Oryzias latipes: one gene and its partner. The protein of the gene in region 1 purifies or fractionates together with the protein of each later gene. This does not show direct contact. Links are inferred from orthologs where the notes say so. Each region holds a gene or a part of one and is shown on either strand. Other genes may lie near its edges.

Region 1 (15,578 bases):
CATTTCATGACGTCATCCAAACTTTTGCAAAGATGGATGTGTGCATATAAAAGGAAGAAGATTTTAGCAATCCCCACTAGCTCCACGGAGAAAGTGGGCGTTTTGTTCTGGCAGTGCAGACTCTTCTTGGAAGGGGCTGTTTTCACTGGTCTACGTCAGCTCATGAGAACCCGCTCGTTTTCATGGATTGGGAGGGGCTGCATGATGATTTGCATGATAAAGGCCCTTTAACTTTAAAATAAATGCTAGTGAGTGCTTCATTAAAAGCACAGTTAACATCAGCCTTTGAAATTTCTATCATAGTGTAAGATGTGGGAGGTGCATAAATTAGCATTTCGTCGGTACAGAAATTTATTTTGAAACAATGATGTATGCACAAATATAGGAATCTTCTGATGAAAGTTTACTCTCCACATCCTCGGATTTGCTTTTATTTGTCAAAATAAAGGTATGGTATGCATCAAGCTTGGTAACACCCCTCACTCCCTAGTTCACCAGGCCTCACACATACACCTTGTGCTCCTCCTCCAGCCGGCAGATTCGATCATCCATGGGCCGAAACATGATGAAGAGCTCCAGCGTAAGCGGGGAGATCTACACGCAGGAGCGCAACGACGGCAGCCAATCAGACACGGCGCTGGGCACGGTGAGCAGCGGAGGCAAAAAGAGGCGCTCCAGCCTCAGCGCAAGAGTGGTCGCCATCGTTGGCAACCGTCGGACCCGCAGCACCTCACAGATCAGTGGGCCTGGTAAGTAACAACACCGGCCACTAACCTGTTAATCCCACAAACAATAAGCACATGAATGTGAAATATTGTAAGCAAAAATATTACAAAGGTTTGCTGATAATTATCAGACTGATAACATAAAAAAAATGAGCCAACTGTTGAAGAAGATAAAGCAAAGTAATAAGCAGTCATCTGTTTTTTTTTACGGTTTTTGCCTCAGGAACCAAATTTTGAAGCAAAAAGGTAGTTATTGTTATGTTTTCCTAGACAGAAACTGATGTGTTTTGGCTGAAAAACAAAAAAAATGAAAGGCAGTACAAAGCTTCTAAAGTTTTAATGTGAAAGTCAACATAAATGAATACGCTAGAGTCTTCTATTAATATCTGGAAAAGCATCAGGAAGTGCGGTCAGGCACTTCCAGTCGGTCATCAAAGAAGCTGAAGAACATAAAGAAATGTCAAGTTGAACCCCAAGGGAAGCTTCATGGGGCTTCTATTCCCATCCCTAGCAGTCAGGATCCAGGCGAGAGTCTGGGAAGGCAGCAGGCAAACAGACAGCTACAAGGTCAGGAGACAGAGGATCAGGTCCAAAGAAACTTGGTAAAGAAGGCAAGTGACACAGCTGTGTGGCATCCAGGACATGTGCACCGGGGATGCTGGGAGCTGTAGTGTGGTTATAACTCTGGAGACAGTTTCTGCCGGTGACCAGAGGGGGAGACAGAGCTCTGACTTCTGACAATGATTGTGTAATGTTTTTTATTTCTGAAGGTGAGCTTTCTCCATTGTAAGTTCATGATCTCAAGAGTCTTTTGGTTCTGCTGTAGAACAATGACCCAAAAAGCAGCACCTTTTAAATTATTTATTAAAAGAACTATTGATCCCTGAAGTCCAAATCTGTGAATATCTTTAACGAACTGTTTTTGTGTACCTCCTTCTGGTCAAACTGCTGCTGTATCCAGATGTCCTTTATGGCAATAAAATGTCATGAACCGTACATTTTATGCAGACTTCTAGTAAGGCATTTATTTGAAATGATAGACTTGAAATAGACAGCACTGATCACAATGATGACAATAAAATAAACATTCGATCATTGATCGGGATACAACATCGGATTTTGATCAAGTCTGTGACCGGGCCCAAGGTAGGGACATCCCTACTAAATAATTTATTTTGCACAAAACAATGGACAAAAACAGTGGGAATGTGCTCTGGGAGACCTTAACATACACTCCCCTGCTGACAAACGCATGCGTTAACACTGGGGTCCTTAAAACTCAAAGGTTATGTTGGGGCTGTAGTTTTTCTCAGACGACACAACTTTTTTTTCCTCTCACTGATGCCATAACTTTAGGAGCGTTTCCAGAGAGAGTGTTTGTCCTGGGGGGTCGAACGTTCCCAGACTCCTACGAAGAAAAGTAAAACACAAAGGCTTCTGCTGCCTCGGTGCACAAATGAAATGTCGAGTTTCAGCAGAATCCACTTCCACCGCGGGGCCGAAATCAAATGCTGTCATGGCCTCCTTTGTTGAAGACAGAAAAAGCTTTGAGACAACATTAGATTGCCCTCCCCCCTCATTGGATAACCTAGATGAAAAGGAGGAGGTGTATTCTTAGTCCTATACTCTTCTGGCCAGCATGGATGACAGCAAAAGCAGGTACGGATGGTGGTTTTTCCTCTTGACTTTTATCACGTTGATATTAAACGTTGAGAAATCAGTGCAGGACGGAAAGCAAAAACAGGCCTTAGATCACAGACACGTTTGATGTCACAGGGGGCTGTTTTTGCTGTCCCATCGTTTCCTGTTTACTGGATTGAGAGCATGGCTGAGCTTCACACGCAGACTGTCCAGAACTTGAAGCTTGAAGCTTTCTTCCACTGGTCGGCTCCGTGTGACCATCACTGTTGAGTGCTTTCCTGTTCACAGCATGAGTGTGACCTTGGGTTTGATCTGCCTGACAGCCATCTCTTTTTCTGTGGGAATTCACTGTTCTGAGTTAAACGGTTGTTAGACGTTTTATCTGTTTTAGACTGATGGGCTCTATCGGGCAGCTTGTCAGGAGACCTTCCTGGATTCTTCTGCTGGAGGTTTTTCAGTCAAGTTCGTCTCTGAAACACCTCAGATCAGACATCGGGCTACACGGCGAGACTTTCAATCTCTGGAGTGACCTTGAAAAGCTCTGGTTTCTCTGAGTAAGCTGGAGATGGCTCTGGAAACCCAGATGTCTGAGCATTTTTTCGACGGATTAGAGTCTTCAAATGAATGATCCAACTTGATCATCAGTCCTTAACCCGATCCCAATCTTTAACCTTGAAAACTTGTTGCCCCACAGGTGCTGTTTATAGGCGGTGTGGTTGCTAACATGCTAAAGACTTTAAGAGATATTTATTTCTTGGTTTTTGTCATGTTCTGTTTCCTGTCAATCATACCAGGTTGATCATCCACAGCTGTCTTCGTTTCAGTTAATTACCTTCATTGCATTTGAAGTCCCACTCCAATCATCTTTTGAGCTATTTTCAAAGGGTTCCCAGTGGTTTTTTAAATACGATTAGGCCATTTTTAGCCAAAATAAAAAAACCTGTGTCGTTTTCTAGGACACAGTTTTTGCAGAGCGGCAGAAGTTCTATAGAAATTTGCCTCCGAGTTGGAAGCGGGACTGCCACTAGCCTGCAATCTAACATTACTGGTGCATAAAAAAATGGTGAGCTGTCCAGCCAGTTTTATCCAGATAGCAGCTCAGACGAGGAAAACAAAGACGTTCATGGATCAATTTGTCTACAGGATGCATCAGAATGGAACCGAGCAAGGAGCTTGTGGCCCACGTAGTCTATATCCTATGAAACAAATACTCTCTGTTGCATACTGCATTTTGGTATGCTCCTGATTCCCAATAATTTGAACAAAGAAATACTCAGAAATGCAAATTTGAACTGAATATTTTTATATATGTCCTCCATCATGATGAGAGGACAGAAAAAACCAGTGTGTCGGGATTTCTGTTTTGTTATTTTTAAGTCATTTGTTGTCTCATCCTTTTGATCCCTGACTTGATGCTTTTGTCATGTTTAAGTTTATTTAATAATAATTTAGGTTTCTGCCCCCAAAAGGTTCTGTCCCACACCACTGGTCTCTGACAATTGGCCAAAAATCTCACACTTTCTCTTGACTTTCCTATAGACCAGATGCTCTGCTCCAGTCAGCCTGATGCTCCTTCCTTCATGCTGGTGCCATGCTGACTGATCTGTGTCCATCTGCCGTTCATTTTTAATAATCAGGAATAAAGTTTAGATCCAGAAACTCTTAACTTTTCATGCTAATGCCATTTTATAAAACAATACAAACATTTTTTCTCTCTTTCTTACTTATTTCAGTTTTTTTCTTTTTCCTTTCTTTATTCTATTTCTCTTATTTAATTTATATTTTATTTTGTTTTTCTATTTCCTTTTTGTTTAGTGTACCATCTATGAGCAGTTAGGAGTCCCCCTCACGGCAGCTCTGTTAGTGCATCCGTTCTCTTTGCTCGGGCTCCAGCCTCTTCTCTGATTGATTCCCGTAACGATCTTACATCAGGACCAAAACGCTGCTCCTTTTAAATTCCCTCACCTGCAGAGAGTCACCTGAGAAGCACCTTTATCCTCACTCATTTAGGTCCACCCAACAAACAGCAACTTCCTGCTAAAGATCACAGAGAAACTCTTCAGCTCTGTGATTGATGATGATGATGGTGATGATGATGATGGGAGCAACTATGCAATCCTGCACTCTGGAGATTTTAGGACACTTTTGTGCTTGGCCTCCTTAAATATAAGCTTAGCACCACTTAAAAATCGAAGTGTTTTGAAATATTATTATTAAAAACAGTTTCATTAATGTGAATTTGCTTTTATCGAAGCACTAAAAGGAGAAAATGTGTCTCTGATTGGCGGATGAGCTGACGGTAAATGAAAACCTTAAACAGTCAGTCTGCACATTTATCTTTTGGTTTCCAGCAGTTTCATGGGAAACTGAGAGCAGTCCATTAACAGCAGATGTTTAAGCTACAGCTTCATTCATGTTTTTATTCATCACCGGCCTCACTTTAGCCAGCCCTGAAGGTACAACCTCCTTAGAATACTTACATCATCCATTTGTTCTAAGGAGTTCTGTTTGTTCGCATACAAGTTGATGTTTCTTTTTATTTTTTTTATTTTTTTTAACATATAACAAAATGAGTGTATTTTTTACATCAACATACAGTTGTTTCATTTGACCTTCAATAAAATGGAGGGATTACTTATTTGCACACAAAACAATTCTACATTTAACTAAGCTTGATGACAGAGTAAAAAATATTTTCCCTCTCCTTTTAGATGAATATTTCTTTACTTTTTACAAAAAAACCAGAAAAATGAATCAGGTGAAAATGTGAGACAGTGTTTTATATAAAAAACAAATGGTGTAGCACTATTACATTTGGTGGCATATAATGATAATTTAAGGTAATTTAATTTAATGTTAGCTGTTTTTGCCCCATTTTACTGCAGTTAAATCCATTCAAGATAATTAAAGTTATGATTAATGTAACATCTCTTTAAATAATGTTGTGCTTTTAATAGACAATCAGGCCGTTTTCGCTGTAAGAGAGATTTCTAGCTTATAACTGTTTGTTTTTATGTGACTCTCAGTGTAGAAAGTGAGGAAAGAAGATAAAGAAGGGAAAAAAAAGACATTGTGAGGTTGAAGATTACACCAGAATCCTGACCTTTTGCTGTTAATCTAATAAACCATATTTTACATAAGTACCATTATGTAGCAGATGATCAACCACAAAGGCGTCAGACAGTGCTTACTGTAAACATTCTCTTACATGAATAATTAATAATAAATATACACAATAATAATAACATATATATATACATAATAATATACATATAATTAATAATAACTTCAGATAAAATCCCTAAAAGTGACTGTTCTTGTTAAAGTGTGAAAGATTTGGGCAAACTGTTAATATTATCTGCTTAAAAGTGACTGGAAACATTCAAAATGTTAAAAATGTTCATTAAGAGAGTACGGGTCATCCTGTAATCTCTTCAGGAACATTCTGAGGTCCTAGAAACAAGCTTTAAAGCTCATCAGCCACCCATTGTTGATTTCTGTTGGTCTTTGTTGATCTCCTGGCCATCAGGCTGATCTCGATGGTTTTCTCTCGTTTGTCTTCCAGAAGGGAAGAGTAAGAAGGAGAAGGGCGCTCCCATTCAGAGGAGCACCGAGATCGGCATAGCCGTGGAACTGACCCGGAACATGAGCCGCCAGCCCAGCAGGGAGTCCAACAACGGCAGCATGAACAGCTGCAACTCGGAGGCAAAGTCAGTAAACTTCCTTGTTCAGAACACGACTCTAAACTGTTGAAATCAGACTTGCAGAACTCTGAACCTGCAAAGATTGGACTTCCCCCGTGCCTCCATGAATGAAGGCCTGCTCTTAGATTTTGCTCCTTGTTGTGATTCCTGTTGTAGTTTGATCTTCTCTGGCATTAACATGGGGGCCAGCAGCCAGTTCAGCGACTTCCTGGATGGACTGGGACCGGCTCAGCTGGTGGGCCGACAAACACTAGCAACACCTGCCATCGGTATGGAACGGATGTTCTCTGGATTCGCCCTGTTCCTTCATGTCATCTTCAGTCTTTGCCTCACTGCTTCATTGCTGGTTTCCGTTTATAACCCCCTCTGTGCTCGGTTACCCAGGTGACATCCAGATAGGAATGATGGAGAAGAAGGGCCAGCTGGAGGTGGAGGTCATCAGAGCACGAGGGCTGGTACAAAAACCGGGATCTAAATCTCTCCCAGGTAGTAGTCTGATCCAGCAACAGCTCATAAGTCAGAAGGAGAAATGTGAGACAACAACAAAACGAGACCACATTTCTGAGACTTAATGGAAATAATTCACACCTTTTTAAACTCAGGAGGAGGAGTTCCTCTAGTTTTAAATTTCATATAATCATCTGATTGTTAAAGTTTTGTAATCAGGTGTAGATGCTGGTTTCAAACTTGTCAAACGTTGTTTTGTTTTTTTAGTTTATGGATCAGACCAAAGTCGGTTGTTAAATTATTTATATTGTGTTGAATCTCTTTCCATCTCAGACTTCTTTCATATTTTTAATAGCCTGTGGCAAAACTCTTTACTCCATCTCATTTTTTTTTTTCAGGAAAAGCTGTCTTTTTTAGGACGTAATCTTCACTTGCTGTTGAAAACATAATAAGAAAAAAAAAATTTCCCGTTTGAAGACCTGCTCTGATAAAAAAAAAGAATTGTGTTTTTAACATGTTCTTGTGGCGTTTCTGATGCTGATGACAGAAGACATATATTGAGAAAACTAAGCTCAAATTGGATTTCTCAATAATCCTTTACTCAAAATTTTGTAAATCAGGTGCAGCAGACCTTACCTTTGTTGTAGAAAATCCACTAATAGATCAGAGGAATATCAGAGTGGGACTTTAAGCAAATGAAGGTTAGTTTCATTGCCTTGTTCCTGTTGTCCTGTCTGCCCTAAGCTCCGTACGTGAAGGTCTATCTTCTGAATAATGGAGCGTACGTTGCCAAGAAGAAAACCAAGATTGCGCGGAAAACTCTGGACCCTCTGTACCAGCAGGCGCTGCTGTTTGACGAGAGTCCTCAGGGGAAAGTCCTGCAGGTGAGCAAACACCTGTGCGGCATGATCACAAATGCCTGCATGCATGTTGACTGATATGGTCGTCCTCCTCCAGGTAATAGTCTGGGGGGACTACGGCCGCATGGACCACAAAAGCTTCATGGGAGTTGCACAAATCTTACTGGAGGAGCTGGACCTCTCGAGCACAGTCATTGGCTGGTACAAGCTGTTCCCACCGGCCTCGTTGGTGGATCCAACGCTCGCCTCTCTGACCCGCAGAGCTTCTCAGTCGTCCCTCGACAGCTCGTCTGGACCCGCAGGAGTCCGATCTTAGATGAGCAGAAATGTTGAGGAACAATCAAAAAGATTCGCAACGAGAAAGCTTTGTCGAAATCTGACAATCACTCCTGCCGCGGTTCTTTCTGTTTCAGTGTTTCACATGCATTGTTGTCAACAAAACAAAAATGACAAATGTTTGAGTGTCGCCGGGTGGTTTTTGATCGAATCATCGCAGCACAAAAATGTACGTACGCATGGGAATGTAAGGCCTCCACGCCTGCAGGGGGCGCAGTCCTGATGCAGCGCTTGCCTGCCGCATGGATCTTCAGTCTGAATGCACAGGGCCTTTTTCTGGTGCCTAGAACCTGGAGCCGTGTCCACCCGCCCCTCTGTTCAACATGTTTACGAAGGCAGCGCTCATCCCCTCGTGTTTGCTTCTCCTCCTTCGTTACCGCAGCCGCTAAATGTCTTATGACGAGGGAGACGGTCGCGATGTTGTCAATCCGCGCACAGGGAGAAAAAAAGGAGGATAGAAAAAAAGTTCTGGGGAAGAATCAATGTTGATGGTAGACCTTCACACCTAGCTTGTGCTCATTTACCGGCCAATGAGAAGGCCAACCATCTTTGTACAGGTGTGCTTCAGACCTCTGAGGAGGTGGACCAATACAAGTTTATGTCGCACATCGCCAACGGTAGAAAAGATGCCCTTATTTTTCACCGTTCCGAGGGAGTGCCTTCCCTCAACCCAGCACGTTTAGGGTTTTTATCTGAACCTCGGTTAACCTTTTTTATTACAAACACAAGCACAATGGCTTGATTTTCTTTTTTCTTTCTATTTTTTTAGAAAGAAAAACGTTTCAGGAGAAAAAAAATGAGGATGAAGCAACAATCCTGAGAAAAGTTCAGTACTTTGTCTTGATGGAGGACTAAAAATGACAAAATATATACATGTAGAAAATAGAAATAAACACCTTTTTACTAAAAATATAATATAGAAATTATACTAAAAAACTTTAGACATTTAATTTTATAAATGCATTTCATTACTTTAGCATTCAAGCATGTTGATTTAACAGGGGATGCTAACTGAAGTCTAAATCTAGAGTTCACCGGGCAAAAGCTCTGGATGACAAAGTGTTCTGTGTCCTTCTTCACTTTACATTGAGAAAAGCTAGCTAAATCTTAGCTAAAACCATGGTTTCTAGCTAGCTAAATAAGTCCAGATTATCTGTCAATGAAGTATAATTGAGGAGAGAGTCCATAGCAACCACATCATGTTTTAAATGTATGGAGCTAATAGATCTGTGTAATCATTTATCTTTCCGTACATTGGAGTAAATGTTTCCCCGCTGCACCTTAGCAACCAGCGTTTACGCTAGCCACACCCACAGGGTAACAGGAGGAAGAGTGAAATGCAGTCAGCTTGGGACAGGCTCTCAGCCGGGGGTTCGTGTCGACTGGAGGACTCACACGTGCGTTGTTGGGCCATGTTATGATCGCTCATCCGTCTTTGAGCATTCGCCACAAGGCTGAAACTAGAGTTTCCGACATTTCTTCACCAATCGGACGGATGTACGTTTGTGTGAGTTTGGCAAAAGTCAGAAAGCCAATAAATCCGTTTTGATCTTGATGTCAGACTTTGGAGCAAGGTGGTGCTCTTTAGAAAAGGTCAGAGGTCACGTGTAAATCAGGTTTTTTTCAGGTTTCGATTTTACGATTTGAAATAAAGTAACATTTCGTTGACTCTAAAGAAAATGTATCATTTTGATATTTGCATAACCAATTTTCTGAGCTCAGTCCATAACCCATACATGTAGAAATACAGAAATATTTTCAATATTTTTTCAATTTAAAGATAAAAACAACTCGTAACCTGTTGTGTATTTCTGCATTTTTACAGTTTGTTTTGTTTTTAAAAAAAAAAAGTCATTTTCAGTCCTCCTTAGTTGGAAGCAAAAAAAAGATTAGCTCAGTGTCATCTGGAATCTTAAGCTCCTCCTCCTTTGGACTTGCAGAGACCCCTCTTACCAAGAGAGGGGGCGGGGCCAGCATGACTTTGGAACCTGTTCCAAGCTGCATGCACATTTTTTTGTAAACCAAAACGACGACCCCCCTGCCCCCCCCCCCCCCCCCCCCCCCCCAAAAAAAAACTAAACGTAAAAAGATGTACGAACTAGATGTTAGTTCCATGTAGCTTATGGCCGCTTGTATGTTGCATGCAGTTGTACAGTTTGCTTGTACTTGAATATTAAAGAGGTTAAACCGAGAAGCCATTTTCATAACGCCGTCCGAAATCAGCTGCAGTCTGTCCGGTGCTGAATGTCTCAAAGCGAATCCCGAGGTCACACCTACGTCTCTCCTTCACCGTCTGGAAAAAGTACTGTACTGTACAGTGTTACTGAGCAGACCTCACAGCACCTCCTGCAGGAGGAACAGACCACGTACGAAAAAACGCCACGCGGCGTTCAGTGACTCGAGGAGTCAACGCAGAGTCTTACTGTAAATACCCGACAGCTGTTTGCTGGATTTTTCGTTAATATTGGACCAAGTTGATGAACAAGCACACGTGAGCTTCACTTTTGAACCAAACGGGCCATGTTTTGTCTCACTTCACAGCCGTTTTCTTTCCATCGTTTGGTGAAGTCGGTTTTTTCAGTTTCTCTTTTCTTTTTGTCCGTACTAACAGGAAATAAAATTGCTGATTGTTTACAAACTTCTGCGCTCCACTGTAACAAAACAAAAAAAGATTAGAGAAAAGTCAAAAAAGTTCACAGCAACGTTTCTTGTTTGTACAACAGATGTGGCTCAAATGATGTGTATGTTTTATATATATAAATATATATTAAAAAAAAGTTCATTTTTATTATTTACAAATAAAAAAGGATGTGTGGATAAAAAAGCCCTCTCTTGTCTTGTTATTTAAAGACTAAAGGAAACTTGGATGAGTGAAATGACCTCGTCTCTCTGTTCTCAGTCTGCTCCAACGCATCGCGCCGCCCCAGGCGGCGACCAGCCCACGTATAACGGGCGCAAGCGGTCTGCGGCGATGTCGGCTACCCATGGACCCATTTAAAACACGAAACAAGGAGTTTGTGTAAATTTTAGTGTGTGTAGATTTTAAAAAATCACACCCACTTATCGGGTGTGCGTTTGGTTTTCTATATAATAATGTATGCCGTCCATCTGTTGATGACCTGGGTCTTATTTTTATGATGAGTTTTTTTTTCTTTTTAAAATTGGACCAAAATTGAGCATTTTATGCTGGCTTTACTGTATTTACTAAGCCGTGTCTCATTGTTTACAGACCTTTCCAATATGGCGTCGCTCTTTACGTATCTTTGACAATGCTAGCGTAGCGTCTCTAGCAAGATAACTCATTGCGTGGCGCCAACTTGAAAACCACCAAGAGCAACATGGGATTCAAGGACACTTCAACTTATGGGCGGGCAAAGCGGGCAGAGATTGACCACTCGACCTCTGCGATGTGAAGCTGATGCAAGGGCTGCATGGTGGTGTAGTGGTTAGCACTCTCACCTAATGGTGAGACGAGTCTGGTTCAAATCCCAACTGGGAGCCAGTGTGGAGCCTGAACGCTGAAGAGTAGGTGTGCATGTAAGTGTGTGATTGACCGATGACCTGTTTAGGGTGTACCCCACCTTTTCCCAACAGTAGCTGGGTTGGCTCCAGCTACCCCGTGACCCTGAAAGGGTTTCAGCCGCTTTTAAAGCTGGAAGGAAGCTGAAGTGAGGATGCGAACACGTGGCCGGACAGGAAGTGGAGCCTCAGAGCTTCGTCCCCTCAGTGGAGGTGAGTGAGACTTTCCTCGCTTGTTTTTTTAAAAAAAAATTTCAGGTTTTTTTTTTGTGACTTTAGAGGAAGCGCTGATGTGTCGTCCACCCTCTTTCGAAATCAAAATTACCTCAATTTTAAAATGAAGCTGGTGACCTTTCTGTGTGGAGTTTGCATGTTCTCCCCGTGCATGTGTGGGTTTTCTCCTCCCACTGTCCAAAAACATGCTTCATATAATAGGTGTGGTGTTCACAAGTGGTTACTAGGTGTAAATGTGAGTGAACATGGCTGTGTGATTGTGACAGACTCGTGAGAAGCCCCCCCCCCCCCTCCCTGCTTGTCCGGTGTGAACGCCATGGGCTAAATGCACATTTGAGACCCTGCATTTAGCGCATTCTTTAATGAACGTCACAAGCCCGGTGTGAACACAACTCTGAACATCTGCATCCTTGCAGTTCTTGAGTCTGATGATCGCAGGAGATTTATATTATTTACACCCCCTTTTTCTTTTTCTTTTCAACCAGTGGAATTATCATTGTGTGAGGAAATCATAAGAAGGAAAGATTCTCTCATGGTTGTGTTTGCTGGTTGTAAAATAAACAACCAGGACAATGAATTATTCAAAAAAGGAAATGTTTAATCTGGGAGATCATGGAGCAGCTGAGGTTTCTTTGGAAGAATATTAAAATTCATCAAATTTTGAAAATAAAAGGAACATTTTGAAACGGTTTCTTACCTTTACCGGGAGATTTTTCTCCATAAGGTTTCACTGGGAAATTGTCCTCCTTATCCTGCTGGAATCAGCTGAATCTCTATGAAGATTTATCAAGTTTTTCCTTCATTGATGATCTTTTTTCCTTCCAACGTTGTTTGGAAAACTCCGTTTTAGGGCTGGTTTTACTTTGACTTTGCTTTTCTCATTTTTTTTTAATGTTTCAAACCAGATCATAAAAAAGGAACGCACCAAGATCACCTGCTGCAGAACTCACCTGTTACAAGAAAATGCTTGTTGGTGTTCTCATTTTCAACCCTAAAATCTAAAAACGTCCACTAAAATCAGCTCATTATGAGAAAAAAGAGATGAAACTTAGCTCAGTGCTCATTGCTTTTCCAGGACTCTGGGATGCGGATCCGGCTGGGTCCCGTGACTGGCCTCACATACGGCGCAGCAGAGGGCTTGGGAGATTTATGTTCCTCTCCTTAAAAAAGCAGAGGGGCCCCCGAAGCTACATCTGCAGGCAATCTCTGCTGATCCTCCACCACCCTCGCCCTGCCAGCCGGGCCTCCAGGCGCTTCCTGGTTCCCTCCGGTGCAGGAGCGGAGGTCACCTCCCCCTCTGACGAAAGCTGGATCCAGACCAGCGTGGAAAAGCTCAGCGGAGCCCGGGCAAGTCAGGGGCCACAATAAAACTTTGTGAACTTTGGAGATTGGGTCAGAAACGCAACCTCGGAAGAAACCCATCAGTTTTCCTTTAATCTGTACTTTTGCTTCAACAAGAAGCTCAAAAAAAGAAGAAGAGTGAGCTGAAAAACCAAACTAAGAACTAGAAATGAATATTTCTGCTCTCTGGAATCAACAGAAGCTGATTAATGGTTTGATCAAACTTCACATTATTTGCTTGTTTTTAAAGGAGTTCAGTTTAAACTGGGAGAAGTTTCAGTTTTAGAATTGTCTGCACTCGACTCCTTTGGCCTTAAATTTGGTGAATGCACAGGCAAAAAAAATCCTGTTTTTTTAAAGTAAACACTAAAAATGTCAATATGAGAACATATAGACACAAATATAAAACAGTTAGGGCAGTGAGAACAAACAAATTCTTTACATCATTAAATAAAGAGAAGAAAACAAAGACAATAAAATAAAACATAAATACTAAGGGTTTTCATCAGTCATTGTCTTTAACAGAAGTGAAGTGATTATTTTTCATGTATTCAAATGATTACAAATAGAAACAAATCTCTTTATAAAATACATTAAAAAGTGTATTTTTTTACACGGTGGCGCAGTGGTTAGCGCTCTTGCCTCACGGTGAGAAGGCCCCCGGTTCAAGTCCCGGCTGGGGGACGTGAAACACATCAACGGGGGACCTTTCTGTGTGGAGTTTGCATGTTCTCCCCGTGCATGCGTGGGTTTTCTCCGGCTTCCTCCCACCGTCCAAAAACATGCTTCATAGGTTAATTGGCAACTCTAAATTGTCCATTGGTGTGAGTGTGAGTGTGAATGGGTGTGTGATTGTGGACATTCTACCCTGCGACAGACTGGCGACCTGCCCAGGGTGCCCCCCTGCCTTCGCCTATAAGTGGCCGGGATAGGCTCCAGCAGCCCCGTGACCCCAAAAGGGATAAAACGGAAAAGAAAATGGATGAATGAATAAAAAGTGGTTTGGTTTTTGACAATTTACTTTTATGATTATAGAACTACCCTTGGATTATTGATACATAAACACTAAACATGTGTTTATGTGAAATGACACCCAAAAGAAATGTTTTTTTATTTTTATTTCACCAGATTAAAGAATTTAGAAGAACACCAGAAATGAAAATCATCTCTAAAACTATTAAAGTAATTAAAAAAAGAAGTCAGTGGTTTCAGTGTTCAAAAATACAGTTGTTTTCTTCAAATCCATACTTTAATTTTAAAAGTTATTTTTACAACATTTATGATTTTAAATCGGACTTCTTCAGATTTTGGATTAATTGGGAGTTTTATGAAAGTTTTGTGAGCAGAAAGCCCGTCAAGGTCCGCCACTCCACTAGATGGCAGTGTTTTGATATTAATGCATAGAGTTCTAAGCAAGGGGGGAAAAAAACGCAGTCTCTCTCTCCATTGACTGTCAATGTCTCTCTCCCTCGTTTTCTAATCTGTGCATGATGTTGTGGAGGTTCAAAAATGGCCGCCATTGTCAACGCGTCTGTAAGTAACGAAGACGTGCGCCATCTTTGAAATGATAAGCAGGTCTTTGGTTCAACACTATCATATTTTCTTTACAGTTAACCCAGTTTCTTTGAAGTAAAGTAACAGTTGAATTCTAAACGTAAACGTTTAACTGTTTACTACAGAAATGCTTTTTACCATTTTTTTTGGGTCATTTGATATCAGTGTATGACAGCTGTTAGCTTAATTTTCAGACAAACAGCAACAGTTTAATTAGATTTGATGATTTAAATTAGACACGTTAGAAATTTTTAGGTAGACAAAAATGGAATAAAGTTAGTGAATTTGCTATTGAGTCAACATATTTTTAAATAATTTTTGTTTCTGGAAAAAATTGACTGACTTCTTGCTAATAGTATTGTGGGGTTTATTAGTTTTGATATAATATTCCACTTGCTTGATGGTGTTTTAACAAACAAAAAAGACACTTGACACACTTGTGGGATTTATACCCTAAATTTTTGCACAACCACAGAAGTTAAAAACCTCCTCCAATGATTTTTTTTTTTTACATGTTCGTGTGACATTTTTATCATGATGGAGGATATATATTACCAAAAGTGTTGGCTCACCTGCCATGACTCCCATATGAACTGAAGTGCCATCCCATTCCTAACCCATAGAGTTTAATGTGATGTCGGTCCACCTTTTGCAGCTCATACAGCTTCAACTCTTCCAGGAAGAGGAGTGTTCAAAGGAATTTTTGACCATTCTTCCAAAAGTGCATTGGTGGTCACACACTGATGCTGGTGGAGAAGGACTGCCTCTCAGTCTGCTTTAATTCATCCCAAAGGTGTTCTATCGGGGTCAGGTCAGGTCAGGTCAGGAATCGGTGTAGGTCAGTCAAGTTCATCCACACCAGACTCTGTCATCCGTGTCTTTATGGACCTTGCTTTGTGCAGAGTTAAAAACAGCATCACCATTTTACAAAGCAAGTTGAGCTTCAGCATTTGGGCTTTTTGTTGTTTTCATTGTATTTGAAAAATAGGAGCAAAACCTTAGAGTTTGGGGGATTACCTACTTTCAGTTTTGACTTGCAGTACAGAACTGATTGTCTTGGTTTTTTTTTTTTTGTAAATAAAAACTTGTCTTCAGAGATCGGCAATTTGCCATTTTTCTTTGTTAATTTAAAATTAAATTACCTGTTAAAATATAAAGAAAGTTCTGCAGTTGGTATTTGTAGTTTTGTTCTTTACAGTTTCAATAAAAACCCGAAA
Region 2 (15,578 bases), on another chromosome or scaffold:
CGCCCTTTTTTCCCCGGGGTTCCCCCCTCCTGGGCGGGGGCGGCGGGCCCCTGCCTTGCTCCTACCTGGACCAACCGTGGGCCGGGTGGGTGGCTGCCTGGAGTGCGGAGCGGGTCTCCCTTGGGGGGTCCTGGCTCGTACCTGGGGTCGGGGCGGGGGGATTCCCGGAACTCCTGGGTGGTGGTGGGGTGCTCGTCTGGGGCTGTGGGCGTCCCTCTCCGGTGGGGCCCTGCGTTGGGCTCTTCCGGCGCGGCGGGGGGCTGCTTTCCTGGCTGGGCTGGGGCGGCGCTCTCTTTCCCTCTGCGCCTCCCTGCTCTCTGGCTCTGGGGGCCTCGCGGCGGTCCTGCTGGCCCTGGCCTGGGTGGCGGTCTTGGTCGCCCGGGGGGCGGTTGTTCCCTGCCTGTTCCCGTGTGGCGTTGGGGGAATTCCGGCTGCCGCTGCTGCTGCGGCGGGGGTATGGGTGTGGGGGTGGCTGGGCGCTCCTCCTCCTTCTTTTCACATTCCACCATCCATTTTAGAAGAACATAAACACTCACCTGAGCACAGGTGTTAGCTCACCTTTGCACTAATAGTTTGCATGATTGAATGAATGAAAGATTTCACACTAGTTGGTTTAAAGGCATAGGTATGCGTTCGTGAACACTATCTGTTTTGTGTGCATGTTGACATGTGGACATTTTTGCGGCTAGCAGGTGTGTTGATAATATTTGAGTGTGTGTGAACAGGCCCCGCCCTTTTTGTACTACATTTGAACCGTACCGTAACGATAAACAACCAGTAAACCTGTCTGCTCTATGCTGCTTCATGGTCTTACCCCCCTTCCCCTCCTATTATCACCCTCCTATCCCCCCCCCTCTCTAACATCCCTCTCTCTTCTTCCCCTCTTTCCTTTTCCGTCCGGTCCAACACCAAAGATTTTCAAACATGATTGAAATTAATAAAGTTTGGCCTCAATTACAAAAGGGGTTTATTCAGACATACCTTTGGTTTGTCTGAAGATGAATAACCCCTCTTGTTAAAATAAAATATGTCCAACACAAGAGGCCCTCAGCTCTCATCTGTTTGCCTAGCTGTTGGACAGGACAAGTTAAAAAAAAAAAAAAAAAAAACCTGTGTCGTTCTCAAAGAAATAGCTTCTGCAGAGCAGCAGGGGTTCATTAGATATTTAACTCTGTGCTGTGGATGGAGTTCGCCTGCCCTCATTTCGCATCCTCTCTTTGTTCACACTCTCTCTGCCTCGATGGTGCAATAAAAATAGCTAGCAATATCTGATCAATTTGGCTGTACAATTTTAAGCCAGGTACCAGGTCAGATGAGGAAAATGAAGATGTTAATGTGTCTATTTGTCTGCAAGTGGATGCATCCCAATGTAGAGAAGCAGGAAGCTTGTGGGCCGCCCACTGTAAGACCTACACTGTAGTATCAAAAGTGTTGGCTCACCTGCCTTGACTCCCTTATAAACTGACGTTTAATCCCATTCCTTTAACTCGTAGAGTTCAATATGATGTGGGTTCACCTTTTACAGCTGTTACAGCTTCAGCTCTTCTGGGAAGGCTGTACATAAGGTTGAGGAGTGTTTCTAGGAATTTTAGACCATTCTTCCAAAACATCATTGGTGAGGTCATACACTGATGTTGGTGGAGGAAGCCTGGTTCTCAGTCTCTGCTCTAATTCATTCCAAAGGTGTTCTATGGGGTTCAGGTCAGAGCTCTGTCAAGTTCATCCTCATCCCCAGACTCTGTCATCCATGTCTTTGTGGACCTTGCATTGGTCACTGGTGCACAGTCATATTGGAGGAGGAAGGCCTGCTCCAAACTGTTCCCACAAGGTTGGGAGCATGGAATTGTCCATAATGTTTTGGTATCCTGAAGCATTAAGGGTCAAGTCCTGAAAAAACAACCCCACACCATAACTCCTCCTCCAAATTTCACACTTGGTCCGAAATGCACCGTTCTCCTGGCAACCTCCAAACCCAGACTTGTCCTTCAGATTGCCAGATGGTAAAGTGTGATTCATCTCTCCATAGAAGTTGTCTCCACTGCTCTAGAGTCCAGCGCCGTTGTGCTTAACACCGCTGCATCCAACGCTTTGCATTGCACTTGGTGATGTGTGGCTTGGATGCAGCTGCTTGGCCATGGAGACTCATTCCATGAAGCTCTCTGCGTGCTGGACTTGGGCTAATCTGAAGGTCACACGACGTTTGGAGCTCTGTAGCAACTGACTGTGCAGAAAGTCGGTGACCTCTTTGTGCTTCTGCATCTGCTGAACCCCCTCTCCATCAGGCTACATGGTCTACCACTTGGCGGCTGAGTTGCTGTTGTTCCCAAACTCATCCATTTAGTTCTGATAGAGCTGACAGTTGACTGAGGACATTTCACCACTGGATTTGTTGCACAGGTGCCGTCCTATGACAGTTCCACGCTGGAATTCACTGAGCTGCTGAGAGCGGAACATTCTTCCACGAATGTTTGTAAAAACAGTCTGCAGGCCTGAGTGCCTGATTTGATACACCTGTGACCAGACCAAGTGATTAGGACACCTGATTCTGATCATTTGGGCCGGCTTTACACTGCAGGTCTTGATGCCCATATCCGATTTTCTGACTATATCCGATTTTTTTGACGACCCGCTTACATCATCTTTTAAAAGTGACCCGTATCTGATTTTTGCATTTACACTACACAATGCTGAAACTGTCAAACGTAGACGTTCTGAGGACTACGTAGCAGCATTTCCGCCTTCCACGGACATCCTTTGGACTTTTGTGACTGCGGTTGTCATGGAGGCAAGGCGGCGACGGAAGGAGGCGTTGCCTTGGGCGCTCCAGACGGGATGCACGGGGGAGGAAAAGAAGGAGGGCTGGTCGGCCGTCTTATGTGCTCTCTCTGAGTTTTGAATGAGGAAGTGTTTGCAGACGTTGTGCTGTACTAACAGTTTGATCCAAGTGTTGAACCTTTCCTGAGCAATGACACACGGGAGAATTCCTCGGGGTTCTCTTTTCCGTTCTGAACCCTCAGCCTCCAGTGGGCTAAGAAAGACTCCAAAACTTTTGGGCGAGACACCTTATTTTTAATTTACGGTTCTCCGACAGTCCCCCGCTCCGCGCTCACACCCGCTCTCCTCTCCTTAAGTTACACGCACACACACGCAAGCACGCGCGCGCGCGCACACACACACACTGTCCCCATCATACACCCCCCCCCAAAAATAAACAGCTTCTAGCTTGTTCCATAGCAACGGTGTCCCGCTTGATTAGTTACCGTTTGAGTCCCGACCGGGACCGGACCGGACCGGACATAACAGCGGTTTCCAACTACGGTCTGAAGCCTGATGCTGAAAGGTAACACGCTGACAGCAAAATCAGCGCACAAAAAGCACCTTAATAAGTCATGTGATCTCAGTTGGTGGTGTCCTGAATTGACATCACTGACGTACAACTCGCATTTACTGGGGAATATCCGATTTGTCTGCTTACATGGCACACGCAAATGCACGTATCCGATTTATTTCCGATTTATTTCCACATATGAGAGAGGCCTGTATCCGATCTTAGAAAAACAGAATCCATGCGCTTTTGTCCTGCTTACACATTCACCGGTCATATCCGATCTGTGCCACATGAGAGGAAAAAAATCGGAATTGGGTCACTTGAACAATGCAGTGTAAAGGCGGCCTTGGATACTTCTGGTAATATGGTGTATGTCACTGCTACAGACTTTTTCAAACTGCATTTTTTGTCTGCCCCTGATTCACATCAATGTGAATGAAGAAATACTCATAAACGGAGTATCCTTCCAAATGTTCTTTATATACTGTATGTCCTCCAGCATCAGAGAAAACGCTACAAGAAGATGGTAAAAAACACAGCAAAAGCAGTATTTTCATTGGAGTTGGTCTTTAATAAAACATTAGCATGCTCTAAAATTTGAGGGTTTAGCCACTGAGGGAGGAAGTAAGCCTTTAACCCAGGAGTGTCAAACTCATTTTCACCGAGGGCCACATCTGCATAGCGGCTGTCCTCAAAGGGCCAGATATAACTTATACATGTAACTAAATGTGAAAAATAAACTTAACTACTCCTAAATGTTAAACAACTAATTTATGTATTTGTAGTAACTTTTGAAAGGGACAATTACAGTTGCATAGAAAACATGTTTGCTTGTAACTCTAGCATAAATCCTTTTCAATTAGATTCTGTCAGGTTAGATTATATGGACAGTGTTTAAGTCCTAATGTATAGTTGCCCAATCTGATATTTCAAGTCAGATTCCCCCTAGATATGAATAAATACACACCAATTTTTATTTTTTTATTTTAAGAAATCAAAAACTTTTATGCTTTCGGGGGCCACATAAAATGACATGGGGGGCCACATTTGGCCCCCGGGCCTTGAGTTTGACATGTGTGCTTTAACCTTTTAACCACCCCACCAATGAAAAAAATAGGATTTTATTTATTTTTTATTTTATTTATTTTTGGGTTGAGTAAATAAAACACGCCATGTTTTTACAAAAATATTAGCGCACCCACATCACAGCAAGAAGGCCCCATTTTAAATCCCAGCTGGGACCCTTCCATGTGAGTTTGCATGTTCTCCCCGTGCATATGTGAGTTTTCTTCAGGCACTAAGGCCCTCAGGCCAGAAATATGCTTCATAGGTTCATTGGTGACTCTAAATTGCCCCTATGTGTGACTGTGAGTGTGTAGCCCTGCAACTGACTGGTGACCTGTTTAGTGTGTAACCCGCCTTCACCCTACAGTAGCTGAGGATAGGCTCCATGACCCTGATGGTGTTTCAGCAGGTTCTGAAGCTGCACGGGTGGAGATGTCCTCTAAAATGTTGTTGAATAGGCAGTTAAAGCGTTAAGACCAACTATTGAGCACTTAAAACTCATTGCAAGGCTCTAACTAATGGTACATCTGCTGCATGGGTAACTCCTGATGGTTTTGATTCATACTTCTTAATCCTAAGTGGAACTTTTTGGATTTTGTGTTGTTTTCTTCTGTTTTCAAAATTGTTGGTCATTAAATCAAGTATAGAAAAGTTGTTGGCAGATCAGCTCAAAATTCTGTTTATTTAAAATGTTGACTGGTTTGAACTCCTTGCCTCATATATCTCTCAGTGGGATTTTCTTGTTTTTTCACAAAAAGTTTTTTTTTTTTTTGACAGCTGGAAACCCACGAATGCTCCAATTCATAGAAGACATCGTTGTAGCTGAATGTCTCCCCTTCATTCTAGAAAAATGGGATAAATGATTTTTTTTTTAAGCCGAGGCAGCAACAGAAACATAAAGCCATAAAAATGAGTGAACACATCCGCTGAGTCATGAGCGAGTCACGGGAAGTGAGGCTTTGCTGCAGGAGACTGCAAGACATGGAGGGGCATTTGAAACCACGGGGCAATTATGCAAATGGTAGAATTGGACAGTCTCCTCCAGTTTGATATCAAGACGGTTATTGATCAGAGCTGAATTGGTAGAGGAGGAGAACATTTGCGTTAAAAACTAAAAGAAATTCAGGTTAAAAGGCTGAAACAACATCAAATAATTTTCATACTACTGTCACAGTTGAATTAAAAACTATTACTGATCAACATTAAGAAGTAAAAAGTTTTGTATTTTTTGTGCTACATTTCTAGTTGGATTTTACTGATATGAAAAAATATCGTGTAGCTTTTATAAAGCTGTGTTGAGCTTTGGTCTTCTTTGACAGAATCAGTGTTCTATTTCGTATGAACATAGTGTTGTGTAGTTTCTGATGATGTGTAAATGAGTAGGATCAGAAAGGGATGCTGGATCTGAACTGTGGGTTTGACAGCATTCAGCAGGAAATTCTCAACAGAAATACTGCCCCCCTGTGGTTGGAAGACAGTAAATTACAATCTTGTTAAATGATGATGAGTATTTTTCCAACAACTGTCCTTTTAATTAATTATTATTATTATTATTATTTTTAATACATTATATGTATGGTATTGTGTTAAATCTTCTAGTAACAAGTAAGAAATCTCTTACAAGAGCCAAAAACATTTGTTAAAGTACTAAGATTTAGATGGCTCATTAATTTGCTTTTCTACGTAAATGACTGTTGATTTTCAGCTTTTCCTTGACTACATTTTCCAATTAAAAAACTGAAATAAGTAAATTATTTTCATTTTATTGCCAATTTTTAAAGGTTTGCATACACAACTTCAGTTCCAAATGAATCTCGGATTTTTACTGTCAGTATTTCGTGTTGCTGTAAATGAATTGATTTTCAGTTTGTCATTTTTTTTCATCTCTTTCCAGAAAGGTCTTCCTGGTAAACGTATATTTAGTTTTCCCTTGTAAAGGGTGTTTTCCATGGCAGACCTGAGCCCCGTTAGAAACACAAAGACCCAGGAAGTTGAGCTGCTTGTTTGGTGAATGAAATATAAAAGAAGCCGAAATGAAATAATGTGTTAAATACATGTGTTAGCATGATTAGCAAAAAAAAAAAAAAAAAAGAAAGTCTGCTGTGAAAAAGTATGGTCCAATGCATTTGCCGTTTAAAATTTGCTGATCACCCATTTTGGTTTGCATCAAACTCGGACACTGTGTTTCAGCATACATCTGTTTTTCTGTTGATTCTGTCCATGCTCTGCAGCTGCTGGATGCCAGGAGAACCAAGGTTTGTCCCTATGTTTGCACCATGTGTTGCGTGCACAACATAGAGTCACCTTTAGTGTGGCGTGTTTTTACACCTGGCAATCCCTTTGCACCATGAAACCTTTGAACCCTTTAGACCCTCAGAAGAAGTAAAGGCTTTTTTTTCTTGATTCTGTCTGACTCCTCTTTCCCTGAACGTTTTCCTTGTGGAGTAGAAGTTGTTCATTTGAGTCCATGTCTATCAGAGCTGTGGATGTAAGAAGCATTCCTTTGACTTGAGTTGGATTCGAGCGTCCCGAATCAGAAACACAGATATGCCAAACTTTTCTTGCTGGTGTTTTCTGACTCCCTGACGCCGTTTTTGGTTAAATGAATTCACATTTTATTTCTGTGAATTCATTTAACCTTTTTTAAGTGTGCAGTTCTAATGATAGTATGGGAGATTGCCCAGGATTGCAATGTTTTCTACATTCTGGACTCAAAAATTGGTTATGATTGTTGAGAAAAAAAACCTTTTTTTTGTTTGGACACAGGCTATCTTTAACATACTTAGACATTTTTCATTTTTTGTTTTTATCTTCTCCATTGTTGCCATATGAAGATCACTTTAAAATCAGAAGCTTAGGAATTTGAGATGCTTATCCATGGCTAAACTTACTTTTTACCATACAAAATATTGATTACATTTGTTTGAAAAATATTAGTTAGCAAACCTTTTTGAATTTCCTGTTTTAATAAAATTATTCTAAAGGAGTTTGGACTCAAACTAAGCTTTTAGGGCACATTTGAAGGAAATGGAGACTCTCCTGCAACTTGGAAAACAAGGACTTAATCCCAGTTGCTTTCTAACACGCTTCCTCTTCACAGTTCCTGGGTTGAAATTTTCTTTTTCAATTGAACCGCGAAGCCATTTAAACCTGAATTGGGCCATTTTCTGTCTTTGGGTCATCCTTTGTTCCTCTTTTCTTTGTTAAGGGGAAAGACAGAACAAAAGCCTTGATAGACAGTGGCCCAAAAAGGATTCTGCTAAAAAAGAGCCAACATGTTTACAGAGAGTCAAACCTACATTGATGACAAACTAAACGGAAATTCTCGGTTTACCATGTTGGTAAAAAGGGCATCTCCAAAACAGCTTCAGGTACTTTGCTGATGGCAGTGGATCCTTCTCAGAGTACCACAGTACTCTGTCTGTTTGTGGCTGAAATTCAGCAGCGTTTCACTTAAAGTGATAAACTTCCTGTTTTAGATCCTGAAGAGCTGTTTTGGATCATCTCCAGGTTTTAAACAAATGTTTTGTTGCTTTTAAAAAAAAAAAAAACTTTAGATGGTTGATTTTTTTAAAGGCTGGCAAAAGGTAAGTACTACAGTTTTCATCTGCTGTTGTCAAATTATCAGTGAATTTCACTTAAAGATCCAGTCTGATCATCTTTTGATCTATTTTAAAAGCGTTACCACTGGACAGCCCCCCCAAAAAACAAAACTGTGTTGTTTTCCAAGGCATAGTTTCTGCAGAGCAGCAGTATTCATTACAAATTCACCCCTAAGTTGTTGGCACAGAGCAACCCCGCCCCCCTTCCCCTCCCCATCACTGAGAGCTCTGCCGTTAGCTTACAGCCCCTCACATCCCCATCCTACCATTACCAGTGCAACAGAAACAGTGAGCACTGTTGGAGTCGTATTGAGCCAGATGCCAACTCAGACAAGGAAAATGAAGACATTCATGAATCTATTTGTCTGTAAATGGATAAATCAAATCGAGGTGGAGTTTGTGGTCCGCCCAGCATGTTTTTTACGTCACAAATACAATCTCTGTCAAATGGCATTTTTCTGCTTCTGATTCACAACGATTTACATTAATAAATACTCAGAAATGCAGTTTTAAGTGAAAATTCCTTGATATAGGTATGTCGTCCATCATCAGAAAATTCCACGTGTTAAAACCACTAAAACCCCAATTTTCATCGGAATGGGTCTTTAAGAAGTTTGTTTTTTCCTGCATTCTTGTTTCTCAACGATGGCACTGCGACCGTTTGTGCGTGTACACATGCATGTGTTTGTGCATGTGTTCATCAGCATCTTCAGATGACCATCCAGGCTCTGCAGGACGAGCTGCGGACACAGCGAGACCTCAACCACCTGCTGCAGCAGGAGAGCGGAAACCGCTCCGGCTCCGAGCATTTTACCACCATCGAGCTGACAGAGGAGAACTTCCGCCGGCTGCAGGCTGAACACGACAGGCAAGCCAAGGAGCTGTTCCTGCTGAGGAAGACCCTGGAAGAGATGGAGCTCAGGATTGAAACGCAGAAGCAGACGCTGGGGGCCAGAGACGAGTCAATCAAGCAGCTGCTGGAGATGCTGCAGAGCAAAGGTCTCCCTCCTGGGCCAGGCAGGGCATCGGAGGAGGAGGAGCAGGAGCGAGCCAGACGTATCGCCGAAGCAGAAGCCCAGCTTGGACACCTGGAAGTTATTTTGGATCAAAAAGAGAAGGAAAACATCCATTTAAGAGAGGTACATTTGTTACATTCTTGTGACTGCATGGCTTCCTGGCTGTTTTCACTGTTGCCTTCCAGCTGAGAGGTTTCCATGCTGAGTTTGTAGAGTAGTTTACATTTCCCAGTAGGTCAGAGGGTTTACTCTGTTGTCTGGCTTCCTCCCCCGTCAAAACCTGCCCATGAAGTGGTGGTTCTGACATACCAGCAGTTTTGACATGAACATGTGGGTACTCAGTTAGGAACGACCACATGACCTCCACGAACCCCAAACAGGATTTAGAAAATGGATGGATGGTGTTTTGTGTTGTTGTCACTAGATGGCAGAGCTGAGCATAGAAAAAACTTCTCTTTTCTGCTGTATTCTATTTATTATGTAATGTGAACTGAAAATTGCAGGCATGTTTGTTGCATGACAAACCTTGCATGCTAAAAAAACACATTTTTTTGTGAGATTTCTATCTTCTCTAGAGCTTAGAATATTATTTTGTCTTTTCTTAAAGGAACTTCACAGAAGAAATCAGCTCCATCAAGACCCTAGTAAAACCAAGGCCCTGCAGACCATTATAGAAATGAAAGTAAGAACTTGTTTTGTGAACAGATAGAACAAAGTAAATAGTAGTGTCCCATCCTGTCAATCACCAAGAAGCAGACGTTGTGTGTCCATAAATTGGGGCGGTTGATGCCCATGAGCAGTGTGGTTTGTTAACCAGCTGGGCTTTGAAAGACGTGTTTTCTGCATCTGCTGTTTTTGGGTCCCAGGCTGCTGAGTCAGTTGTCAGCACATTTGTAGGTTGCCTCGTATCAGATCACAAGCCTGGCGTGTAAACATGAACAAAAGGCAGTTCAATACAGCCATTCAGCATTTCCTCCATGGGGACGTTTTGGAAAGGGTGTGGCGAACTGAGAAGCTAAGATGATATGACAAGTAGTAGCAGGAGATTGGTTCTCACACTTTGCACAGATAAGCATTATTCAGCGCTTTTCAAGCTTTTTTAAATGTATTTATTATACTAAATTCAGCTTTTAAAGAGTCTTCAACTGTTTTCTTTTGCCTATCAAGCACAGAGACGAGGATGTGCACGACATCACGAAAGACCCTTTTTTCGCATGTGAAGTCCCCCCACCCAAGTTTGCAGAAATTTCCTTTAAAATCTTTAGCTAATAAAAAACAAACTCAGATTCCCAAATGTGCTTAGTTTCTTTTGCAAAGGATGGAAACGGTCCCTCCTGTGTGCATCTTTGTAGCAGTCCACTGTAGCAGTGGAAATGTCAGCTGCATCGAACCACAGAGCTGCCGTACACACCCCCAGCCTCACTGCAGAGGCCTGACATCACTTCCTCAAAATATATCATGACATCATCGCTGAGCTGACACAGCCCCTCTTCGGCTGGATGGGAGCTGTGCAAGCCCCTGCCTCTTCAGGCGCCGTCACGTGGCACCAGGGCTCGCGGATCTTGTTGATTTTCATACATGGGGAGGAAAGTCCTGCCCCCTCCTGTGCTATAGAGGAAGACCCTCCATCTCTCCTTTTCCCATCGCTCTGCTGATGCTGATGGAAGCAGGAATAATCCTCCCTCCCTCTCCTGGTCTACAGCCCTCCCGCCCTCTCCTCTTCACTCACCAGAGACAGTGCACAGCATATAGCCTGCCTGCTGCTGCCATGGAAACAGGTGTGGTTGTTTATGACAGTATGCAGGAAGGTAGAGAGACAGAGAGACATACAGATCCAAGGAATGATAAAGAGCAGGATTTACTGACTAGGTTGATGCACCACTGACACATGTGGATGGAATAAAACCACCTCTCAAGGTACGCCGTCTCATGTCGTTTGCAGAAATGTCAGCTCACATGGAATTTTTCTTCTCGTAACACAGAGTCTTAGGTGAGGTGCAGGAGAATCTCAAAGTGCATGTACGTGTGCGGGGCTCTCGCATCGACACAGACCTCTCAGATCTGCCGTTCTTTATTGCTAAAACATTCAAAATGGTCCTCTGTTGCACGCTGTGACCAAGCCCGCCAACGACCATAAGTTCACAAGTTCAGAGACACTAAAAGAAAATCGAAAGAGTCCTAAAAGGAGAGCAAGATACATGCTCTCCGTGCATGCTTTGCTGGACAGGGAGATGAGCCATGGCTAATCTTGAAGATGTTGTATTATTTATTTAAAAAGCCGTGAAGCTACAGCAGCACTCGCCATCACAGTCCAGAGAGAGGGTTCTGAATTTATCTGCAAGCAGCCACTGCAAAAGCTGCAGCTGCTTACTTTTTCTTTTCCTTGTTTAACAATTTTCCAAAGTCCTGGAGAATCTGTCTGTGCTGGATGTGTGCTCAATATTTCCCAATGGTGATTAATCCTTTGAGCCCCTGCAGGGAGCTGGTAGAAAGCTTTGTTTCGCCGACTGTGCAGTTGTTCTCTACCTGACCAAAAAGCTTCCTCCGTTTACTTTCCGTGTCTGCTGCTCCCCCATTTTCTGCGACTCTCTCTCTCTGTCTGAGTGTTTTTTAAAGCTCTTCGGCTCTCACCCTCCTCGGGCTCCTCTCTGTAGTTTAGCTGCAACATGCTTTTCATGGACAGGCGAGGCTGGATTTTGAGGTGCGTCTCCTTTGCATTTTTGTCTCCAGGACACCAAAATTGCCTCTCTGGAGCGCAATATTCGAGATCTGGAGGATGAGATCCAAATGCTGAAGGCTAACAGCTTACTGAACACAGAGGACAGAGAGGAGGAGATCAAACAGATGGAGGTCTACAAGAACCACTCCAAGTTTATGAAGACCAAGGTAGAAGCCTGTGCCAATTGATGCAGTAAAGTACTGCCCCAGGAAAAAATCCATATGATGTGAAGTGTGTACAAACTTTTCTGTCATAATTAGCATACAAGCAGCAGCCTCAACAGCTTATTGGATTCTCAACTAAACTTACCTGGTTTACTGTTATATAAATACAGTTTTGTATGTATTCATATCTCAGATGTCTCTGCATTTGTTCTTTTTTAATTTTTGCTTTACAATCATTGTTACAATCATCAGCTAGGCAGCTAGAGCAGTTTTGTCATCTATTTTTAGACCTCTTTCATTAATCATGAATAAAGAGGATGTATAAAACATGATCAATGCAGGAGTCAGTCCCAAATGCATTTTTAATGGGGAAAAAAAAGCCCATCAACGACAATAGTGCAACTTTAGCAGCTCACGGTTTGGGCAGGTTTCTGGCACAAGGGCAGTCATGATGCTTAAAGACATTTGCCTTTTTTTGGACGTGCAGATCGACCAGCTGAAGCAGGAGTTGTCAAAGAAGGAATCAGAGCTGCTGGCTCTTCAGACAAAGCTAGAGACCCTCAACAATCAGAACTCAGACTGCAAACAGCATATTGAGGTGCTTAAAGAATCTCTCACTGCCAAGGAGCAACGTGCTGCCATCCTACAGACAGAGGTAACTGCTGTGTTTGCTGAGCCTGTCCCACTTTGGAAAAACTTTATTTAAATCTTTTTTAATTGAGCTGTTAATTGGACAGGTTGCATCTTACAAAATGTTGCATGTTGCAGAGACAACAATCACTCAGGCATGCTCTTTGGCTTCTTTTAGTTGTCAATTAAAAGCAGGTGGCTCTTTAAATAAGTGCTGTTAAAGCAGGCGTTTCCTGTCATTTCTTGTGGTTGGTTTGGCTTCAGGTGGATGCTCTGCGTCTCCGTCTAGAGGAGAAGGAATCCTTCTTGAACAAGAAAACCAAGCAGCTGCAGGACCTGACGGAGGAGAAGGGAACCCTTGCTGGAGAAATCCGGGACATGAAGGACATGCTTGAAGTCAAGGAGAGAAAGATTAATGTATTGCAGAAAAAGGTGAGAGCGAGGAAACCAACATCTTTGGATCTATTTGTAAATTTTATTCCCAGTTTTCTTTTAAATATGATTATGCAGGTTTTGGCCAAAAAAAAAAAAAACCTGTGTTGTTTTCTAAGGCAGTTTCTGCAGAACAGCAGGAGTTATTAGAAACTTGCTTGTGGTTGTGGGGAGGACTGTTGGCATGGACTAAGCCTACTTCCCATCATCCATCTGTTTACACGCTCTCCCGCTAGCTTACAGCCCCTCACACCCCCAACCGAACATTTCTAAAATTTGACAAGTTCCCTGCAAGTAGATAGTTCCCTGCAAGTAGATGCATCAGAATGGAGTATGTTGGCTTGCTATTGTAGTTTCTCCATCACAACTACAATCTTTTTCAATAACATTGTTTTTTTTAACTCCTGACTCACAGTGATTTGAATAAAGAAATACTCAGAGATGCATCTGAATTTTAAGCACAATGTCTTAATTTGTGTCTTCCATCATCAGAAAAATGACACAAGAACATGTTAAGAACGCCAGATGTTGTGCAATTTCACTCCAAAGTGTAAAGTTTTAAATGGGTGGTGACAAAAGCCCAGAACCTTTCTCTCCATCAGGAGAGAAAGTGTCTCCAGCAAGTTAAAGGAAAGCGTACAGAGAGACAAACACTGGGACACTTCTGTTATGTTCATCGCTGAGTGTTTATGTGTCTGAGCTGGAAATACCCACAGAACCATTCTTACACTTTGACCCGTTTACAGGTCTTCTTATTCTTTTGCCTCTAATTGTAATCTACGTCAAACTCTCCTTTTTTTCATTCTTTCTTGTTTTTGTTAATTTGAATTTGTGCTATACTCCATGAAATCTCTCTCTCCCTTTATATATATATATTTTTTTTTAAATGCAAAACTCATCTCTTGACTCACTGTTGTTCCTGTTTGAGTGTTGATGTGTCATTTGATGCAGAAATCAAGTTAGATAGGAGTAAACACAGAAATATGTTTATATTTGTGCACATCAACACCTTCGACTAATCTAAACCTTCTATATAATTGAATGTTTCATTAAAGGATGATGTTATTCGCATGTATTTCCGAGCGACCAGCTCAAAAAGGTCAAAAAGTGCTGGGAATTCATGCACATTGCTGCGTTGCCTGCACGTATTTTAAGTGTGTCCAAGGCTGTATTTTGTTGTTTGCTGCACGTATTTCAAGTTAAACTTAAAGTCCCATCATCTGTCACGTAAGGTGTGTGAAATATGTTCTCCACATTTAATCCATCCCCTGGAGGGGCGGTGAGCTGCAGAAACAGCCGCGCTCAGGAGCCATTTAGTAGTTTAATGCTAACTGTAACCATAACCTTAAGACATCCTCTGTGCGGCCAAGAAAAAAGTTCAATGCTTGCTGCACGTAGTATTTCAAAAAATTACGTGCGAGTAGACACTTTCTTAATTAAAACAGGAGGACAAGAGAGAAAGAAGCCAAACACATGCAGAGAGCATGCTACCAGTCCTTAAAGTGGTCTGCTGTGCTGAACATCTGGGGTTCATTGGAAAGCAAATCAACAAAAAATAATTTTACCTTTGAAATGACGTTTGGTTTTCTGTTTCTAAATTCTACTAACCTTTGCTTGCATAGAGCCTCTCAAAATTAGACACAATCTGCCTCTAACATTTATTAGAAAAATCTTTACAAAGGATTTTATTTTCATATTTAATACTAGTAATTATTGAAGCCTTCACATAACTTTGCTTCCATTAAAATTGCATTAAAAAAATTCCGTCTAAATATCTACATTTTTTGACTTTCATTAATTTAAAGCTGTTTATAAGTCTTGAACAGATCTCAGACAGTTGATTTTCCAGCTGATTTTTATAGCAGTTGTTTTTCTATTCTACAAATTAGTAGACAATACTATTCAGTTTCAGGTCTGACTCCTCCCCCATGAGCACATATTAACCAGCTCTAAAACCAGCTATTTCAGAATAGACAAAGCCTTTTGGATAAGAGGTGAAACATCTTCAACTTTTAAAAAGCAAGTCCAAATGGCAACCTGTAAACCTACTACTATGATGGATTCTACCTGGATGAAAGAGAGTCTTCATAGACATTTTACTAAAGTATTTTTGCTTCTTCCCGGGATTTCACAATCCACCTTCTAACTTCCTGAGGCAGATTGAAAACCTGCAGGAGCAGCTGAGGGATAAAGAGAAGCAGCTGGGGAACCTGAAGGACCGCATCAAGTCTCTGCAGACGGACTCCAGTAACACAGACACTGCCTTGGCCACCCTGGAGGAGGCGCTGTCGGAGAAGGTAGAGTGCAAATCATCACCTTATGAGACGGAAGTTAGGATAGAAACATAAAGGAGAATGTTAGTAAGCACAAAAAAATCACTTCTTCTTTTTAGAGGATCAAAAAGTGTCTTTTTTTCTCTAGATTTGTGCTACACATAAAACTTTTAAGGTAGCTTTTTTAACATTTAGAGTAAATATTAATATTTTTGCGGCTGGTTTGCGGTGCCTTCCGTCCGTGAAACCAGGGTTCGACTTCGGGCTGCTCCCTGTTCCCTTCTCTACTTCTGTGCTGGTCCCAAGCCCGGTTGCTTTGAGAGGGTTGCGTCAGGAAGGGCAGCCGGTG

What was found.
Region 2: the proteins of regulating synaptic membrane exocytosis protein 1 (region 1) and erc2 purify together in Homo sapiens (affinity purification with western blotting; 3 studies listed by BioGRID and IntAct, with this or other methods). This does not show direct contact. The link is inferred for Oryzias latipes from reciprocal best matches to the Homo sapiens genes RIMS1 and ERC2.

Annotation. Positions count from the first base shown.
Region 1 is NC_019859.2:8,143,329-8,158,906, reverse strand, and holds the end of regulating synaptic membrane exocytosis protein 1, read left to right. Parts: intron 1-531; coding exon 532-749; intron 750-5,931; coding exon 5,932-6,076; intron 6,077-6,226; coding exon 6,227-6,339; intron 6,340-6,454; coding exon 6,455-6,556; intron 6,557-7,261; coding exon 7,262-7,401; intron 7,402-7,474; coding exon 7,475-7,693; 3' UTR 7,694-9,770; downstream 9,771-15,578. UniProt on the Homo sapiens protein: Rab effector involved in exocytosis. May act as scaffold protein that regulates neurotransmitter release at the active zone.
Region 2 is NC_019863.2:5,031,050-5,046,627, forward strand, and holds part of erc2 (ERC protein 2), read left to right. Parts: intron 1-6,624; coding exon 6,625-6,648; intron 6,649-8,699; coding exon 8,700-9,134; intron 9,135-9,618; coding exon 9,619-9,693; intron 9,694-11,741; coding exon 11,742-11,897; intron 11,898-12,381; coding exon 12,382-12,549; intron 12,550-12,788; coding exon 12,789-12,956; intron 12,957-15,115; coding exon 15,116-15,253; intron 15,254-15,578. UniProt on the Homo sapiens protein: Thought to be involved in the organization of the cytomatrix at the nerve terminals active zone (CAZ) which regulates neurotransmitter release. Seems to act together with BSN. May recruit liprin-alpha proteins to the CAZ.